Arabidopsis thaliana: one gene and its partner. The protein of the gene in region 1 interacts with the protein of each later gene in a pairwise test. Each region holds a gene or a part of one and is shown in the gene's direction. Other genes may lie near its edges. The genes, in order: MYBC1 and TGA10.

What was found.
Region 2: the proteins of MYBC1 (region 1) and TGA10 interact in a two-hybrid assay, tested with the Arabidopsis thaliana proteins (one large-scale study listed by BioGRID).

Annotation. Positions count from the first base shown.
Region 1 is NC_003071.7:17,096,894-17,100,697, reverse strand, and holds MYBC1 (Homeodomain-like superfamily protein), read left to right. Parts: upstream 1-1,966; 5' UTR 1,967-2,179; coding exon 2,180-2,926; 3' UTR 2,927-3,148; downstream 3,149-3,804. Other genes in the region: AT2G40960 (Single-stranded nucleic acid binding R3H protein), read right to left, coding at 3,330-3,380, 3,555-3,804. UniProt on the Arabidopsis thaliana protein: Probable transcription factor that acts as a negative regulator of freezing tolerance via a CBF-independent pathway.
Region 2 is NC_003076.8:2,118,747-2,126,745, forward strand, and holds TGA10 (bZIP transcription factor family protein), read left to right. Parts: upstream 1-1,725; 5' UTR 1,726-2,164; coding exon 2,165-2,238; intron 2,239-2,322; coding exon 2,323-2,444; intron 2,445-2,815; coding exon 2,816-2,907; intron 2,908-3,113; coding exon 3,114-3,242; intron 3,243-3,366; coding exon 3,367-3,432; intron 3,433-3,540; coding exon 3,541-3,600; intron 3,601-3,687; coding exon 3,688-3,765; intron 3,766-3,856; coding exon 3,857-3,938; intron 3,939-4,028; coding exon of another isoform or gene 4,029-4,031; coding exon 4,032-4,303; intron 4,304-5,447; coding exon 5,448-5,702; intron 5,703-7,318; coding exon 7,319-7,471; 3' UTR 7,472-7,711; downstream 7,712-7,999. Other genes in the region: AT5G06830 (uncharacterized protein), read right to left, coding at 1-37, 110-204, 474-608, 753-813. UniProt on the Arabidopsis thaliana protein: Together with TGA9, basic leucine-zipper transcription factor required for anther development, probably via the activation of SPL expression in anthers and via the regulation of genes with functions in early and middle tapetal development.

The DNA of each region.
Region 1 (3,804 bases):
AAACCTTCTTTTGTGCTTAACTGGCCTTAAGTGAGGTTCCCTTATACAAATCCATAATAATTTGGTGCAAAAGAAATCAGGGGGACAGTTCTTGTCTGCTTTCACTTATTGTCTTCGTGACTTCGGAAGAAGATTCCTTATCTCAATTTTCTTATTTTCTAAAGTATACGAGATGGTGCTGAGGGGTTGGCCACTAGACAATTTTAGTCTATTTAAATTTGGCCTTCTTTCTAAAATTTTAATGTTATGAATGGAAAAATATTTAGGTTAGAAAACCAAGTTGTTTTAAAAGAAAAATTAGGTCAATTTACCAAGTCGACAAGTTGCTAGTTCGCTTATTGAAAAGTGACTCTCCGATGATCAGCCGACCATTCGACCATTTAGGATTTTGGGTTCTAGATTTACTTTCACTCAAAAATAATGTATAAAATATGCTCTATCCATAACACTAAAACCAATAAAAATAAAACTTTATGCTCTATTCATTTGGCATATATAAAGTTTTTGAGAAATTGATTTAAGTAAAAATAAAAATAATGTTTTGAGAAATTCTAATCAAATATGGTGTGCGAGTTCCTAGATAAAATTGGAACGTTGTTTTTCACATAGAACGGATAGTTTCTTTAACAAAAATCATTTTAATTAAACAAAGACAATTTGACCTTTTTTATTGCGAATGGATCATTGTAGTTAAAGAAATCAATTTGACATTTTAGCTATCAGATTTAGCTTCCTTATTCACATCACACGCCGAACCTAAATTTGGAATATTAATCATTTCACAACACTCTACTACTTGTACATAGTTCATACCTAAAAAGGTCTCTGATTTATATGTTATGGCAGCACAAGTCCCACTCTCTGCCCATACCTTTGTATTATAATATCTGTATATGATAGTTCATTTATACAATTAAATTTTCATGCATCTCGAAATTTTACTGTAAGTTATTTTGCACAATTTATGAAAAACCAATACTACAAAATACCTAAAACAAAATGTGTTTAATTTATTTTGAAGCTTGTGATATCTAAAATAAGTAACAATATGGATATTACAAAAAATAAAATAAAAATTATTATAGTTCATACTAGTAAGAAAAAAAGAAAAATGGAAAAAAGTACTAACACGCATGGTTTACGGACAACTAACCCACTAAATGAAGTTAATTTAAAATCATTTAAAAAGTTGCCTAACCTAATCCATGTCTGCGCGTGGAATCTCATGCGTACTTCAGACCAATTGTACGACAGGGTGCTGTTTCCAATTACTCCACCCGCAAAATGAACGCGTGAAAAACCACGCGCCACGTGGAAAACCAAGAATCTTTCTGATGGTTCGGACCATAACTCCGAAACACATAAGACAATGACAGATCCAAACAAACAAAAAGTAAAACCAATCCCCTTCAATTATCAACTTTAACTGTTTTTGTCGTCTTCCTTTTTCTTTCTTATCACACTTTCAGCTTGAGATATCCTTAATTAATAATCATCTCTCTTTAAACTTAGAGAAATATTCGGGATTTATGGTTTTCGTCTTAATGAGGACACAATGATTATTATTTTAATGTAAGATTGAGATTTCTTCTTTCTGTCATAACTCATAAGGTTCTCTGCCTTCGGTGTAATCTAATCATATACTTTTTATTCAAATGATGTCGGCTCAACTATTGGCGCATTCTTATGCGATCAATTCTTATGTTACTAATTTATTGATCAAAATTGATACTCACACACTATCGATTATTGTTTTCTACCTAAGAATTATTGCAATTTAGTCACTACAAATAAATTAAAAAAACTAGAGGCAAACAATTCGCATGGAAAACAAAAACTGGCAATTTGGATGCCATGAACCGAACCGTGAATGACAATGACAGTTCATATGCTCACATTATTACTATTTTCTTACTACTTTTGAGTTATGATTTCTCAATTATCCTCTTTGTATTTTTAATAAAGACTCAACAATTTATTCCGTGTTCCATAACCCCATGAACACATTATTCGAGAGAAATGGAATCAGCCAATCACTCTCTTTCCTCCATATATAAAATCTAGCCAATATTCACAAATAATAACTACTTCCTTCGTTCTTTTCCTTACCAAAAGATCCACCTCGAACCTCTCTCCTCCGTCTTCCTCCGCAGCCGCCGTCACTATCACCGCAGCTAGAATGAGAGAAGATAATCCAAATTGGTTCCTTAGATGGGAAGAAGAGCTTCCATCTCCAGAAGAACTCATCCCTATCTCTCAAACCTTAATCACTCCTCATCTAGCTCTCGCTTTCCAAATCGGAAGTCCTAATCATCATCTCGGATCAAAGAGAACCACCGCGATTTATCACCAGAAGCTTCAATCCTCCACCACTCCAACAACTCCAACTCCAACTCCTCCACCGATGATGATGAATTCTGATTTCGGCGGTGGCGATTCCACGGATCTTGGTTCAGGATCAATAGGAGGAGAGCCAGCAAGAACGTTGAAACGGCCGCGTCTAGTGTGGACGCCTCAGCTACACAAACGTTTCGTGGATGCGGTTGGACACTTAGGGATCAAAAACGCAGTTCCAAAGACTATAATGCAGCTTATGAGCGTTGAAGGATTGACTAGAGAGAACGTTGCGAGTCATCTTCAGAAATATCGTCTTTACCTTAGGAGAATGCAAGGCGGGAACGGTAACGGAATCACTGGAGGACACGTCATCGTCTCTGATTCGGCTACTGATCGGCTATTTGCTAGCTCACCGGTTCCAGCTCATTTCTTGAGCCCGGATTACTTGATGCCGCCATTAGAGCATTCGTATATGGGGAAACATGTGATTACGCAGCAAAACCAAGTGGTTCGTAATCTGAGGTATGAAGATTCGGAATATGGTCATGGTAGTATGAAGATGCTTAAGCTCTTCCCTGCCGGAAATTAATGAAATATTTGAATTCTTAACTTCATTTTTATGGAAGTAATAATGTTTAAGGTATGTGGATTATCTCTGTAATTTGCATTTGTCGTCAGGATCAATAATCTATTGTTAGTGTATATTATTTGTTACGCGAACAATTTAACCTTTGTATGATGTTATCATTTGAATTCACTACAACACAGTAGCTTGTTTTTATTTCTTTCGTCTATTCATTAGTTTCCCTGGACAAGTTTGATTATCATTTGTTGCGCCTAATTTGAAGTCACGTCAAAGCTGAAGCATAAATAGTAGTAAACAAAAAGACAAGGCAATGACACTAATCAAAAGGTTAAGTTTGTCTATTTTTGACATCAAACTGTCTCAAAATCTGGATTACACAAATCCTTAGCCATGATGAGAAAAGTAATTACCGGTTCTGCATGTAATCGAAACTAAGGGGCTGCGGATAGAACTGCGCCTGCAGAGACAACAATCACTTTTAAAACTTGATATTCACTAATTCAGATGTGATATAAAATCCACATTCACTCTTAAGTGTGACATTGTGATCTAGGAAGGTCGACAACCAACATTTACACAATTAACAAAAAGGCTAAAGAAAAGAGAGGAAAAAGGGAAAAAATTTGTTTACCTGAAAAGGGGAGTTTCTGAAGTGGTCATATGAATGAGTATACATCACAGCTGCTGCATTTGGCCATTGCATGTACATAGCAGCATCTCTTGAAGGCTGGTTTAAACCTGTGGTGACGCAGGGGCTCATGACAGAATGTTGACCCAAGTTAAGAGATGGAGGAGCAGTTGGACTATACCCTCTAAATCCCATATCATAGATTGGTGTCCCCATTGTCTGAATGTTGAAGTGTGCCACGCATAAATTTTGA
Region 2 (7,999 bases), on another chromosome or scaffold:
CTTTTTCAAACGCACGAACAATTGCTTCCCAAACACCCTAAAAGAGCATTATACAGCTGAGACAATGAACACAAACAAAAGTGCGAAACAGAGAGACAGTTTTCCTTACAGAAGCACCCGAAAGTCGACCAAAGATGTTGCGGCTTTCCGGAGTTGTCTTCAGGAGAATCTCATACACCTTTTTGACCTCCAAGTAACCGATCACTGGAAGCAAAACAACATTAAACTTGAATGAGAATACAACCAAGTAAGGCCCTCCTCCTAATCAATCATCAGACATAACCAAACAACAAACAAGCTTACGGTGTTCACAAAGATGCCAATAAAATCTCTTTGGCATTTTCAAACAAAATACTAACACTTTAAGTTATAAATGAGAGCAGTGAACCAAAACGCAATTTAAGACGAATTCGTTTTGAAGGTTTGAAAATTCGCCAAACTGATAAAAGAACAAAATTTGAAGAATTTAAAACCTTCAGGATCTAGGGTTTGAAAGAATGGATCGATCTCTTTAGGCAAAGAAGAGAACTCTTTTAAGATTTTGACTCTGATCACAGCAACCCTCTTCCTCCAATCCGCCGGAATTCTCTTCCGATCCACCAACCATTCTTCAAATTCAACAAAATTGAAATCAAATGAAGACAATAATCACCAACGCAGATTCGAATCCAACGAAGAAAACGAAAAAAAAAAACCAAAGAGATATAAAAATTTAAAATTCCGTGTACTCGTAATTGATAGTTCTGCATTACCTCCGAGACGAGAGAAGGTGATATCGATTGGAAGATTTTGAACATCATCTTGTGACGGCATTTTCTTCCGGTTAACCTTTCACGCTTTCTGGGAAATTTTATCTCCGAAGTCTCACACAGTTTAACGTTTTGGAGTCTCAAGAGTTTGCTACAGAAGAACGCATAATTTCATTGGTCTCATCAAATATCTCGAATCCGGTTATTGAACTAACCGAACCAATTTACTCCGGTCCGCGGCAGATTAAATTGTTTATTGGTTTTATATGGGTTGGTTGGATGGTCCATTACCGCGGTTAACATAAACTGGTCTATCTAGTAACGTCGGTTTTACCTTTACGGATTAGTCTACAGATTTTAAACTTTTTTTTCTTTACAAGTTAAAACTATTTTGAGGAAATTATTTGTATGAATATTTTGTGAATGATGGGAAAGAAATCAAAATTAGTTTACCAGCTCAATTTGATCAAACCAATTAGCTTAACAAAAACAAAACCTAGACCATATTAGTGCCCATTCAAACAAAGTACAATGGAACAGTTAGAGATACAAACAAAATTCAATCAATATATTTGACAATCTAAGTTCATAAATCACATAATAATGACTTTTAACTTGTTTCATATAATGTCTAGTGTTTATAGATTGAATGTAAGAGCGGTTAATGGATCATTAAAAATCGAATAAAAAATCTTATAATAATAATATAGATGATGGAATTGAAAAGTATATCTTAAAGTAAAAATCTAATAGCTGAATAATATATATAGGAGAAATATAATAATAATAATTTAGAGAACAAACAAAAAATATTTATACAAGTTTGTTATCAGCAATGTGACTAGAGAGAAGGAAGAAGAAGAGAGAGGGGATGGAAAAGGACATGTTCTTGACCGCTTTATCAGAATATTTTTCTTGGTTTCATACAAAAATAAAAACAAAGTCGTCTTCTAATATTTTAAGGTAGAAGAAACTTATACAACAAAAATATCAGAAAATAAAAAGGAGTTTGTCTTTAGGTTCTTCTCTCCAATCTCTATTTTTCTCTCCAATATCCTTCTTAAGTTTTTGAACCCTCTCCACTTCAATATAACCGACCTCTCTTCTCTCTTCTGAAAAAAACACCAAAGGAGCTTTAAATGCTCCGTTACATAATCTCTATCTCTTTCCAAGAATATAGAGAAAGGAAAATAATATACAAGAATTAAAAGAAGGTATATCATCATCTCTCTAGCTAGTGATCAAAGCACCGTCATCATCATCATATATCATCAGCTTGCCTCAGAGGAGAAGACCAACATAAGAGAGATCGAAGATCAAAATCTATCTCTCTTCATCATCTTCTGCTGTTACTATCATATCACACGCTCTCTCAAACATCATCCTATATATAGACTTCTCTTCATCATCATCAAATGCAAGGTCATCACCAGAATCATCATCAACACTTATCATCATCCTCCGCCACGTCTTCCCATGGAAACTTCATGTAATTTTTACTCACTTAATAACTTTTTGAATTGATTGATGATCCCCATGTTTTTAATAAGAGAGCTTTAATTTATGTGTGCAGGAACAAAGATGGGTATGATATTGGAGAGATAGACCCATCACTCTTCCTCTATCTTGATGGACAAGGACATCATGATCCTCCATCAACTGCTCCTTCTCCTTTACATCATCATCACACAACTCGTATGCACTCTCTCTCTCTCTCTTTTCTTTCTTTTTTGGGAATTGGGGTTTGTTTTTTTGGTTTCAGCAGATAAGGAAGATTCCCTTTAGGTGTGTGAGAGAGAGAGAGAGTCACAGCAAAAGCATGCCAAACAGATTTCAATCTTTCTTCTGCCATCAGTACTCTATTCTTTCAGCTTTGACCAGATCCTCTCTCTTTTCAGACACCAAATCTTTCAAATCCATATATCTTACACTTCTTTAAACCCTTTTCTCTCTCTGTCCTTTTTCTTCTAATTAGAAGAACTAGTCCGCTCACATATTTATATACATGACTTGTTATAACTAGACCATTTCTCATACATATGGTCACATGACTCATCTTATGGCAGAGAATTTGGCGATGAGACCTCCAACATCGACGCTCAACATCTTTCCATCTCAGCCTATGCACATAGAGCCACCTCCTTCTTCTACACACAATGTAATAATTATTACTATTACTTTATAAATTTCTATATATATATGCCAATTTTAGTTGGTTTCTGTTTCTAATTTAATATAATGTCAGCGCAACTACTAGCCATTTCATATAATATCAAGTCAGACCAATTATTATACGTTTCTTATTTTTCTATTGAGTAGTGATTTGATTGTTTTTTGGTTGTTTTATATAATGTGTTTGGTAAGACCGATAATACAAGATTAGTTCCGGCTGCTCAACCTAGTGGTTCCACTCGACCAGCTTCTGACCCGTCCATGGACTTGACCAATCATTCTCAGTTTCATCAACCTCCTCAAGGTTCTAAATCCATCAAGGTCTCTATCCATTTATGTTTTTTTAATCATTTAATTGCTTTGTCGAACTATAACTCGAGTATAGATATAGACTTGTTGTGGTTGTTTTTAGAAGTTAATGGGTCATATCTAAATGTTATGGCAGAAGGAAGGGAACCGCAAGGGTCTTGCCTCATCGGACCATGACATACCTAAATCGTCAGACCCTAAAGTGAGTGTATATTCATACAACTGCAGAAAATTAATAAGATTCTTTTTTTTTTTTTTTTTTTTACTTTTCGGTTTTTGATAGTTTCTTTATTAATTTAATTCTCAACAGACATTGAGAAGACTAGCACAAAACAGAGAAGCAGCAAGAAAAAGCAGATTACGTAAAAAGGTCAGCATTCAATATTTGTAAGTTGCAAATATAGTTTTTATATCCAAATTTATTTATAACGTTATTTGCTTTGGTAAATTACGACAGGCTTATGTTCAGCAACTCGAGTCATGTAGGATCAAACTGACCCAACTAGAACAAGAGATTCAACGGGCCAGATCCCAAGTAAATATTTGAACCTGTCTTTTCATATATATTGTATTTAACCTAAAGTCTAAAATGTACCAATTTAATTTGATTTCCTATATATGTTTAGGGCGTATTCTTTGGAGGGTCTCTTATAGGAGGAGATCAACAGCAAGGTGGACTACCCATTGGCCCTGGCAACATCAGCTCTGGTACGTTAATAGTTTCATAAATGTGATGACTCAAAAACCGTAAAATTTGAAAACCGAGAGAATGAGATATTGAGTAAATGCAATGTGAAGCAGAAGCAGCGGTGTTCGATATGGAATATGCGAGGTGGCTGGAGGAGCAGCAGAGGCTATTAAACGAACTAAGGGTGGCAACACAAGAACACTTGTCCGAGAACGAGCTTAGGATGTTTGTGGACACATGTTTAGCTCATTATGACCATTTGATTAACCTCAAGGCTATGGTCGCTAAGACCGATGTCTTCCACCTCATTTCTGGAGCATGGAAAACTCCAGCTGAACGTTGCTTCTTGTGGATGGGTGGTTTCCGTCCATCGGAGATCATTAAGGTACATCTCGTCTTTTCTTATAGCCATATACATATATTTAGGTTTTTCGAGAGATATTTACTTATTCTATTCGAGCCACATCCCACACAATAATTAGTCATGATGATATTGTAAACTAATCAAATATGGATTAATAAATCTAAATTTTGGAATTTTACTTGAAGACTAATCATTTTAAATTTTATCTTAGAACCTAAAATATTCCAGGATACAATCATTAATACCATCAATTTTGTGGATTACTTGCAGAACATATACTAATAATGACTGAAATTGTGACATTGTTATTATTTATATCGTACATATATGTCCACAGAATATAGTACTTCCAACTTTATTTTATTATTTAGATTTTTTTTTTTAATTTAGTCTTTGATTCTCGTAAAAGAGGTACGATATAGTAATAATAGATAAGACAGACAAGAGATAGACTATATAGTGATATTGTTGGACGAGGTATATATATACATAACATTGCATGGGGTGACTCTAGATGTATAAAACCAACATATATACGTGAATGTCTTTATATTACGACAATAATAAAGGTACACGTAAAATTATTTTGAAAACAAATTAAGAATGCATGCAATTGTGTGTGATGGTGAAGTATCTCTAGAAATAGGTAGGTTTTGGCATAATGCAAAAGAAAGTGCCTGTCTGTTTTTTCGATTTATGGGATCCATAGGAGAGAGAGATAGACATAAACCACCATGGAATTCAACAGAGACGACCATAATAAACAAACCAAAAATAAATAATTGTTTAACATTTTTAGCACGCTCGTCAATTGGATGATTATCATTTTTTTTCTTTTCTAAAATGGTTACGTAAAGCCATTTTAATTAAACCTACTTTTTATTCTAAACAATATGAGTACCTACGATAGCCGATTAATAATACAAATTAATATATGGATGGTGTGCATATCTGACAAGACCTTTGGCAATGTCTCAATCTTATATCCTTTTTAGTGAAAATAAAAAGGAAAGAAGAGATTTTGGGTGTAGCTAGTAACTCGTGCAGAGTACATACACTACACACTTTAATGCATTCAACGTTCTTTATGCATCCATTAAGACCATTGTTAATTAATCCTCGATATCTCAACTTGTGTGTATTAATTAGAAACGCATGCATGCAGGTGATTGTGAACCAGATAGAACCATTGACGGAGCAACAGATAGTTGGGATATGTGGGCTGCAACAGTCCACACAAGAGGCCGAGGAGGCTCTCTCGCAAGGCCTCGAGGCGTTGAATCAATCACTTTCCGATAGCATTGTCTCTGACTCCCTCCCGCCTGCCTCCGCACCACTTCCTCCTCATCTATCCAATTTCATGTCACACATGTCCTTAGCTCTCAACAAGCTCTCTGCTCTCGAGGGCTTCGTTCTCCAGGTACCCTTATAACTCTTTCTTTTTAAGTTTATGTGCAATTATATATCAATATACCAATCTTTTATCTTTATATAAAAATATACCTATAGAGTTGATATACAAGTGGACCCCTAGAGGATATATGTGGTCCTAATCAGACTAGGAATACATATTCTGTTTCTTTGAACTACTCCTTATTAAACTCAACTATCATATACTTATATATTTCTATATTTGGCTGTTATAACACGCTATCTAAATTTATATAGATGTTTGTATATATGTGTGTGTCTGTTTTGTGTACAACTCATATATAGGTATAACGTCGGCCATAATTTGTTAGAGGACATTTGTAATATATTAAGTGTATATAGAATAAAAGTGGTTGATTTTAAAGAAGATGTCAAAACTAATTCGCAAACTTAATAATTATGCATTAACATGTATATGTATATGAAATGGAAAGTATTTGCCTCTTGATTCGGACATTATGCAAGTAGGTATCTAACAAACACTTCTCTTGTCTTATATCAACTTGGTCGGGTTGCTTTTCTTAGACGACCAAGTTTATTAATTTAATATTTATTTCTTAATCATTTACTAGTTTAGGACAGGCAAGTTTTTGAAACAAAGAAATATATATATCTGCTTGTGTATATTAATGTATAAGTCTATACTCTATATGCAAATGGACATTTCGGCTAATTAATTCTATACAAGATACATGCATATACAAGTTGGCATCTTTCAATGATTTCTTAATATAATTAGTTCTAAATTGTTCCTGTTCCGCCTATAAAAAAAGTTTTTGTGTTTCGCTACACGGTTAGTCGCTCACAATTTGGAGAAAGATCCAACTTTAAAATAGGTGGTAAATGTGGGGTTAGTTACTAAAAAGGGGTAATGAATTCAATTTTCTCTAAACGCACGTGACAATTGGCACCATGAAAGTATGTATTAAGTATACATATTCCAATATATGTAGTCCAAAAGAAAAATACATATATTATGTATCTATAATATATCACATCAAATAAAAACATGGAATGCTTGGAGCCCATATCGTTGCATGATGTCATGGACGTAACTGCCCAAGTATCCCATCCTCCGAAAACACTTCCTTGAGAATAATTCCTTTACTTACATTTGATTCTGCATTTTTTTGTCTACTTTTATATCATTGATAATAGGTTGATTATATATGTATGATTCTAATTAATGATCAAAAGTATCATGAAGCATGGCGTGGGACCGAGGGTATGGAATTCACGGTTTCACCTTTTTGACATGTTGGTGTCGTGTTCTTATTAGTGAATTACTAACAAGCTTTGATTTTTTGATCGATCAACATGTTGAATAATCGGCATTAGTCGTCAATCAACCACATAATTTCGGGTCATGCACAATCATTATAATGCTTAATTAGTCCTTTATCTGTTTTTTTCCTCTCTAGTTAGTCTTTAATACTTATATTTATGAGATTAATGATGGTCCAATTCGATTATTTGTCCTTAATTGGTCTTAGTCAATAACATGTGCACTACTTTGTCCATCTTTTGTTTTGCTTTTACTATTTCTCCATTTTCCCTATAACTCTTATTTAGTTTTGAACTAGCTAATACATTAGAAACTTACAGGCGGATAATTTGAGGCACCAAACGATCCATAGGCTGAACCAATTGTTGACGACCCGTCAAGAAGCACGGTGTCTTCTAGCCGTTGCGGAGTACTTCCACCGTCTTCAAGCTCTAAGTTCTCTCTGGCTAGCCCGTCCTCGGCAAGATGGATAATACTAAAACAACTGATGAAGGAAACCAAAAACAAAAACAAGAGAATAGGTTGATTAGTTAGCCGCCAGCTTGACCTCTTTATCATATATATCGTCTCTCTACTCAAATACAGTGCAATTAGGGAAAATTGTTTGGCTTCTTTTTGTTATATGATTCTTACTATTATGTTTTTAATCAAGATGCAGATTATATATATAGACAAGTATTCCATACCTTTTAATGAATTCTTCCTTATGCAAATTCAAGTGAAAAATTATACTTGATCTTCAATTCCAAACACAAGAACATGAGAGAGTATTGAAAGGAAACAAAAATAGAAGGCTGGCAACAATTGCAGTTGCATGCAAGACTTATCACTTGTTAGGTCAAATTAAAGCATTGACCAGTGAGGAAGGTGACAAATGGTGAGTTCTGTAGGATACCGTCAGGGACTTGGGATCAGTACCGTTTTGCTTTGGGTTCAACGCCCTTCTCTCTCTCCTTTACTTTTCATTTCTTTGCTGTCACCAGTTAATTTTTTTCAACTCT